Saccharomyces cerevisiae S288C: one gene and its partner. The gene in region 1 interacts genetically with each later gene. Each region holds a gene or a part of one and is shown on either strand. Other genes may lie near its edges.

Evidence for each region.
Region 2: mutations in APP1 (region 1) and ATP5 together harm fitness more than expected from each alone (negative genetic interaction), as found in Saccharomyces cerevisiae (2 studies listed by BioGRID).

The regions. Positions count from the first base shown.
Region 1 is NC_001146.8:445,686-450,436, reverse strand, and holds APP1 (phosphatidate phosphatase APP1), read right to left. Parts: upstream 2,827-4,751; coding exon 1,063-2,826; downstream 1-1,062. Other genes in the region: Rab family GTPase YPT53, read right to left, coding at 1-569; YNL095C (uncharacterized protein), read left to right, coding at 3,597-4,751. UniProt on the Saccharomyces cerevisiae protein: Mg(2+)-dependent phosphatidate (PA) phosphatase which catalyzes the dephosphorylation of PA to yield diacylglycerol. May play a role in vesicular trafficking through its PAP activity at cortical actin patches.
Region 2 is NC_001136.10:1,057,676-1,061,166, reverse strand, and holds ATP5 (F1F0 ATP synthase subunit 5), read left to right. Parts: upstream 1-2,352; coding exon 2,353-2,991; downstream 2,992-3,491. Other genes in the region: rRNA-processing protein BFR2, read right to left, coding at 1-1,540. UniProt on the Saccharomyces cerevisiae protein: Mitochondrial membrane ATP synthase (F(1)F(0) ATP synthase or Complex V) produces ATP from ADP in the presence of a proton gradient across the membrane which is generated by electron transport complexes of the respiratory chain.

The DNA of each region.
Region 1 (4,751 bases):
GAGCTTTGTCGTGTATTTTGTTCAGGACATGGTACTTTTTCGCCTAATGTTTGAAATATCTGGTAAATATTCTCACCAGTCTTAGCGCTTGCTTCGAAATATAAGAGGTTCTCTCTTTCACAGAGATTTTGTACAGCTGGTGCTTTCATAGCCCTATTTTCATTCTCGTCATCATTATTCAGCAAATCCATTTTGTTCCCCACCAAGGCAATAACGATATCATGTCCTACCTTCTCGTGTAGTTCTTCGACCCAGTTTTGAGCCTTATAAAAAGACCCTTCATTAGTAACATCAAAAACTACCAAAGCAGCTTGAGCATTTCTGTAGTACATAGGCGCTAAAGGAGCAAATCTCTCCTGGCCTGCCGTATCCCATATTTCAAATTTAATGACCTTGCCATCCCTTGTAATTCTCTTTGTTAAAAATGCGGCACCAATAGTAGGTTCTTTGCTCTCTTTAAAATCGTCAGATACAAACCTGAGGACTATTGAGGACTTCCCGACAGCAGATTCTCCGAGTAAGACTACTTTGATAGTTAATGTTGGAATAGCTGCTGTATGTTTATCCATTCTACTTAACTTCGATGCTGAAAAAATGTAATAAATAATTTGAATCTAACTCTATTTGGTCAATATACGTGCATTCAGAAGGCCTTTCCCGACTTATAATATGACAATATTTAATAAATTCTACGGATTTATTTTATTTACATGGGAAGAGGCTTTGCAGTTTAAGGACCCCTTCCGCCCCGGAAATTGACATTTTAGGGTATGGTTGGTCACCAAGGCGTACGCGATAATCAGTTGGAATGGAAAGATAAACTGAGTTTAGGGTATTTTGTAAGAGTGTATTTGATCGGCAACCGAAGATTTTCTTTACTCTTGACTTCATAAAATTTACATATTTACATTTAGCCCTTCTATAACCGTTTTTTTAATTTCCCGATCTGATGAAAAGGATGCAACATCACTCTAAAACGTTGAAAATGGCTCCAATTCATAAGGTCACTTTAGTGTATACAATTTTTAAACTCCCTCCCGATGTATATAAATAACAGTGTATTTAGTTTGAATACTTCTCCCTAATTCTGCGAATACTGTCTTCCAAACTTAATGCCGGATCCGAAAAGAACATCAATGTGGTGTCTTGATTGCTCAATTTTTGAATTGAGTCCATTACTCTTCTCTTCCATTCATCTGCTTTTTTATCCATGAAAGCACCATACATGCCATAGTCATTTTGTGAGGATGGTACATAGTAAGTATTAGCGTCTAAGTTAGGTAACTGTCTGTTCGGCAACGGTGGTGGGGCAACTCTTTTAGCATTGTTCTCATCTTTATTACGGCGTGACATTCTTATACTTTCGGTTTGCTCTTCTGTCAACGATGGCTTTTGAGTGGAAGGAATGGGAGGTGGTGGTGGTCTTCTCCTGGTACGTACGGTAGACTTGGTCATTTGCATGGGCCGTTGTTGTAATTCGATGATATTGTTCACTTCATTCATAACTTCTTCATCATGCGATGGGACATCACTCATGGAATTAGAGCAACATCTTATATAAATAGCCAGAATCTGGTTCGGAAATTGTAAAGCCGTAGTGGTATACGCTTCTAAGTCATGTTCACCAGAATCACCGACCAAAATAAATTTTTTTTTGGGAAAATCCTTTAAGATATTTGCAATCGGCTGAATTTTTCTATTCGCACTTGAAGTCATGATAGTGGAAAAGAAATTACCAGAGTATTGTTTCAAAAAAATTGGACCCGGAGGAAAATTGGCGCAAATATATTGTTTCAAAAGAGTAAAAGTTTGGATGGGTGAATTAGAAACATAAAAGAAATCAACGTCTGCGACATCATGTAAAGTTTTGTACCAAAGAGGAACACCATCTATTACCCACGATTGAACATCATGGATGAAAACATTACGAAACATCGATCTCCTGTCACCCGTAACGCCAGTATGCTTGATGGTGTCGTCAATATCACTGATTAAACCAATACCGTAGGGCGAGACATAATTGGCCGGAAATGTTTCAGATATGGGATCTGCATGGCCTTCTATAGGGGTATCTAATGTAATATTAATCTTGGACGGTAAAAAATCTGTTTCTGCCTTGATTAGTAAATTACCATAAGAGTCCGTGGTACCAAAAAAGGAAGCCGTATCCCCTCTGAGCTTATCTTTGGGCAATAGGTCAACCACCACTGGAGTATTAGGAACTTTTTTGGACAGGAATCCTTGAATTCTCTCATTCAGAACATCTTCCTCTTGGATGCCCATATGTGAATACCTATTTTCGCTCTTTGAAGACAAAGAACTTTCTATACTTGATTGGGAGTCGTTTAAATCTCCAGAATCCTCTTCGAGATGAGGGGGAACAACAGGTGCAACATCGGCCTCCGCCGTTCCAGTTCTAAGATATTGTTTACAAAGAGAAAGCAACCACCTATTTCTCCTGCTTGTAGGATTTCCTGGATAAGAAACAGCACATCTGACAGTAGTTTCAAAATCTTTCCGAGGCGCACTCAAACCGTCAGGGTCAACCAAATTAGTTGTGGTATACGTTGGAAAATATGTTATCGTGGTATTATGTGGCAATTCCATAGGCAAGTCATTATAACCTTCGAAGGAATTCGTAGTGCTCCTGATGCCATCCATTGTCTTTTGAGAAATGGATGACGTCAGGTTAGGAATATAAACATCCTTTGTGGTTCTTATGAGATTCATAAACCGTTGTTTCTTACCCATTCGTGGGTCTCCAGAAGTAGGACCGCTAGTAGCAGCAGTAGAGGAAGAGCTTTCATCGTAACCTTGACTATTCATCTTTTTATTCCTTCTCCAAAGCAATTTTTTCCCCCTTTGACGGAACTTATAGCCAAGTTTCAATGTCCTTGTCTGTGTTAATGGTCCCAAGAAAAGACGGCGATTACTAGACAAACTCTTTATAGCCAACAAACCGACAGAGCTAGAGAAACATATGACACTGTTTATTGAAAGCCTTGTGCAACCCACTATTTGCGATATATATGCCTTAATGATGCTAAATTTTTGCCCTGGATCACGAATAGTATAACAGCTTCGTATACTTTATGTCTCGTGGGCATAAAAAGCCAAGAAAAGATACACAAACCAATCACAATGAACAAGCTAACCGTAAAGGCGTTGCCACCCTATTCTAATGCTTTATCTGTCCGAGAATTGTTGGTAACCTCGTTTGGAAAGTTAGACCGCGCCCTCATCATCATTTGCGCGACCACGTGACCCGCTGCGGCTGCGGTTTGCGCGAAGGTTACAATATCTTCCTACTCGATGACTTTTAACCTTTGGATCAAGAGCACAACGTTCTGCCTGAACTCTTATGCTCATTTTGTGCATACAAGTTGCCTTTTTGTGCCATATTAGGATATATTGCCTTCTGAATAAAACTATTCAATTCTCATCACTTCCGCAGTTAGAGAACGCTTTTATGGCATATTGTTACAAATCATCGCTAAAAAAGATATAAACAGTGACTAATTAGCGTCAGCGCAATTTTTTTGGAGAAGTTATAGAATCAAACAGAGAAAGGGATTGAAACCTCAAATTTTCATCAGATGGTGCACATTACTCTGGGTCAAGCGATATGGGTGTCAGTTAAGCCGATAATCAAGATTTATTTGATTATAGGAGTCGGCTTTCTGATGGCTAAAATGGGAATTCTTACGGTTGAAGCAACAAGAATTATTTCTGATATCGTGCTAACAGTTTTACTACCCTCTCTGTCATTCAACAAGATTGTCGCTAATATTGAAGATAAAGACATCAAATCTGTGGGAATTATCTGTCTGTCTGCCCTCCTAATATTTGGTTCTGGGTTCTTTTTTGCATACGTTGTTAGGCTATTCCTGCCTGTTCCTAAACAATGGTACGGTGGTATTCTTGCCGGTGGTATGTTTCCAAATATAAGTGATTTACCAATTGCATATTTACAATCTATGGACCAAGGGCTTGTATTTTCGGAAGAAGAAGGTAACAAAGGTGTGGCTAACGTCATTATATTTCTGACAATGTTTCTAATTTGCATTTTCAATTTGGGGGGGTTTCGACTGATTGAAAGCGATTTCGAGTACAACGACGATGAAAGCGCCGTTAGGGTTTCAGAAACGACAAAGACACAGCCCGCAGTAAGTGCAAACACAACTAATACAGATACTAGCGAGCGTTTCTTCTCAAACGAACAACAGCTTTTCAACAATAAGTACACCGCTCGCGATAGTCTCACTGAAGCTATAGGTACAAAGGGTGAAAACGCAGACGTACCACCAATTTCAAGGAGATCAACAAATAGTATAGCTCCCCTGTCACTACCAGACACTTCTTCGAATTCAAAGATTACAAAACCAGTTCAGGTGAAGGCAAGAAATACTATTGCGTGCACTCAAAGCGAAGAGTCACAGGCAACTCGTGGTTCAAATCCATTAGATAGCCAATCATCTGCTTCAACAATACATTCTTATAATACGTCAGAGAGTTATGAGAGTAGCATAGATACTATGAGAGCACGTAGAACCGCGAGCCAGCCGAGAGCTTACAATACTACCACACTCCTAGAAGAGAACTGTTTAGATGAAAAATGCCCAAAAAATATGTCTATGGCGGCATTGGAACCTATCCGCTCCATTGATATGCGTGCATTACCTTCTCAAAATATACACCATCTTATCAGAGAGTACTCCAACGTTGACCAGTATGGTCATCAAAGGAGGAAT
Region 2 (3,491 bases), on another chromosome or scaffold:
CATGTTGTTCCTCATCCTCATTTTCATTAAAGTTCACTCGTTGACCTAACAATCCCGCAAAGAATTCATCGATTTGGTCGTCTGACCATTTGTATCCGGATGTGATGGGGGCTTCATAATTCGCAATTGGATCTTGAACTGAGTAGTTCAATTTCCTACCCTTGGAAGCCTTAGTATCGATATTCTTCTTTAGCTTGTTGTTCGAACGAGCATTAGTTGAGGTGATTGTAATTGCTGCACTTTCAGAATTGTGAGCGTTGGAAATCTTTTTGTCAATTAAATCGTTTAGTAAAACACGGTAAAAATCTTCGTCATCAAAAACATATGGGTTTTCGGTAATGTCAATGGCATTGTTATCCTTTCTTCTTGGGTCATAGTTTTTCGGGATATCAAGCCCATCATCCGAATTCTCATTGTCATCAACACTATCTTTGACAACGGGAGAAATCAATTCTGGTAGCCTGCCATTAGCACAGTCTTTTTGGAAATACAAAGGCGTTATGTTTCTCCTGTTCAACTTTGTTCTTTTCATCAAACGGGACATATCGGATAATTGGTTTTCGACTTGTACATCTGCAGGTAAGTTGATAGCTTTGAATTTGTTAGATGATAAAGCAGCGTTACCTGATGCAGAAGAAACTTTGGTAGACCACTTGTTTAATACGGCAGTCCTGTACTCTTTTAGTTCTGAGTCTAAGCTATTAGTTTCTTGGTAAAGCTCTTTGAGAGATCTTTTTTTGGACAATTTATGCTTCGCCACCTCTTCATTTTGAGTGATATGATCGCCAAGTTGGAATTTTATTCTGAAATTTATCAACCGATTGAATAAATTATTGAACAGTTTTTCGTTTTCCTTCAGCAAACGCTTTGTTTCCTCTGAATCATCCATTTTAGCCTCTTCCCAGGACTCTGTAGTTAATGGGAGCTTATTTGCTGCAATTACAGCTTTTTGTAGTTTTATTCTCAAATCAATGATGTTGTCAAATAATTTTGTCTGTTGTAAAATGGAATAACCCTTCGAAGCATCTCTTTGAACTGATTGAGACAGTTTGTTAATAGCTTGTTTAGTCTCTTGTTGAATTAGTTTCGATAGTGCATGCCTTTTCTGTTGAGCCTCCTCCGTTTCACCGCCGTCCGCGTCTGATTCTTCTTCATCAATCTCTACTTCTTCATCTTCAGAATCTGTCCTGAATGAAAGAGCATCTTCCTCTTTTTCTTCTTCCTCTTCTTCTTCTTCTTCTTCGTCCTCATTCTCGGAAACTTCTTCATATAATGCTTGTCTTGAACCTTTAACACCTGTATATTTTGGATCGTTTAGTTCTAAACCTTTTTCTGCTCTTAACTTAGACTTTTCCACCTCCAAATAGTGCGCCTTCTTGGTTTCTTCTGTGTTGCTATTTCCATAGTCGCTTAAATCACTTTCTCCATTTTTTTCATTGTGTTGAAATAAAGATGCATTTTCCTCATCTTCAATATCGAAGTCTTTATTGACCGGTTTAATGGCGATATCGGAAATTTGATCCGCTAGTGATTTTTCCATCTTTTTTTGCTCTATATTTATTGGTAACAGTGCTTATTGTTACTCAATGTATGGTACGCTGCATACCTATCAAGATGCGACTACATATATACAATTATCTCATCTCATCGCGTATTGAAAAATTTTCCATCTTCTAATTTTTCAGAACCCATAAATTCGGGTAACGATCAGTGGAAAAAACTTAAATCCGCAGTAATAGGCTTGCAAAGGACCAAAGACAGCATATGCAGCAGTTAAGAAATCTAAGAATGCATTGTATATTAGAGTAGTATATGGAAAAGCTCGGACTGGGAGCCGTAAAATCTCTTTCCCGTAAGATCTGGCTGCAAACCTGGTCTACATAAATGTAGTACATTATAAGGGACTACCAAGAAATACGAAGCGCTCAGATATCTCTTAAAGTTCATTTTTTTGCCGGAATAATCTTGGTTTAGTAACTTATAAAACTACTTACGTCCAATAAATCGTTATATTTTATGCCGTCGTCATAAAGTGGACACTTTCGAGAGACGGTGCTGGCCAATAAGATGCTGATATTTGAAATATCATTTACCCGGGCCCGGGTGGGAAAAACAAGGAATTAAAGATAATGAAGTGATCTTTTGGCGAGATAGTAAAACTTTCAATTATCTAGGAACAATTTCAAACGCCAATTGTTAACTTTGTGTACAGTATTTCTAGTTTTTATCTCATTGAAAACAAAATTCAGTCAACTTGGAAATTTAAGCAGGCTACTGTGGCATTGAGATATTTTTCCGCAGAGTAAGAACCGATTAGCAAGTTACCGCATTATTTTTAAACCGTGGACAATCATGTTTAATAGAGTCTTTACCAGGTCATTTGCATCAAGCTTAAGAGCTGCTGCTTCCAAAGCTGCTGCTCCCCCACCGGTGAGATTGTTCGGTGTTGAGGGCACTTACGCAACAGCTTTATATCAGGCCGCTGCAAAGAACTCCTCTATTGATGCTGCCTTTCAATCTTTGCAAAAAGTTGAAAGCACAGTCAAAAAGAATCCAAAATTAGGTCACTTATTACTGAATCCTGCATTGTCATTGAAGGACAGAAATTCTGTCATTGATGCCATCGTGGAGACTCACAAGAATTTGGATGGTTATGTCGTTAACCTATTGAAGGTTCTTTCCGAAAATAACAGACTGGGATGTTTTGAAAAAATTGCGTCTGACTTTGGCGTTTTAAACGATGCTCACAACGGGTTACTTAAAGGTACAGTGACTAGTGCTGAACCATTGGATCCTAAATCTTTCAAGAGGATTGAAAAAGCTTTGAGCGCCTCCAAATTGGTGGGGCAAGGTAAATCTTTGAAGCTGGAAAACGTGGTTAAGCCAGAGATTAAGGGTGGTTTGATTGTAGAACTTGGTGACAAGACTGTTGACTTAAGCATTTCTACAAAGATTCAAAAACTGAATAAGGTCTTAGAGGACAGCATTTAACGTTAATAATATAGTTGGATATGCTCAACTCGTTTGATGTTACTTTCTTTGCCTCCCTCCTAATTTTTGATTCTGTTCAAATATATATTCTTTTCCGTGAATTTTTCCTAAACATCAAAATTACGTACATATACGAATAAATAAGAAACCCCTCTAAAAAGTGAATTTTTTTGTTCGAGACAACCATTTTAATCATATATATGTTCGTGTATCCAGGCAAACTTATATTAATCGCAAAAAAAAAAATTATAAGTGTATATATGGAATAAACATAAAAAATAATAAAAGAAGAAAAAAAAAAATAATGAAGAATTCTCATCAGTTTTCGAAGATTTCAAGAAAGTCCGAAGAACATTTAAGACCTTTTTGATAATTCAAGATGTGCATGCACAATAATAACCATTTCATAGTTGAATTTTGATGTATTCTTTCGTTACAAATCAAATATATAGTCAAAGTCACGCCTATACACTTAATAATATGTCTTGATGTATATAAAT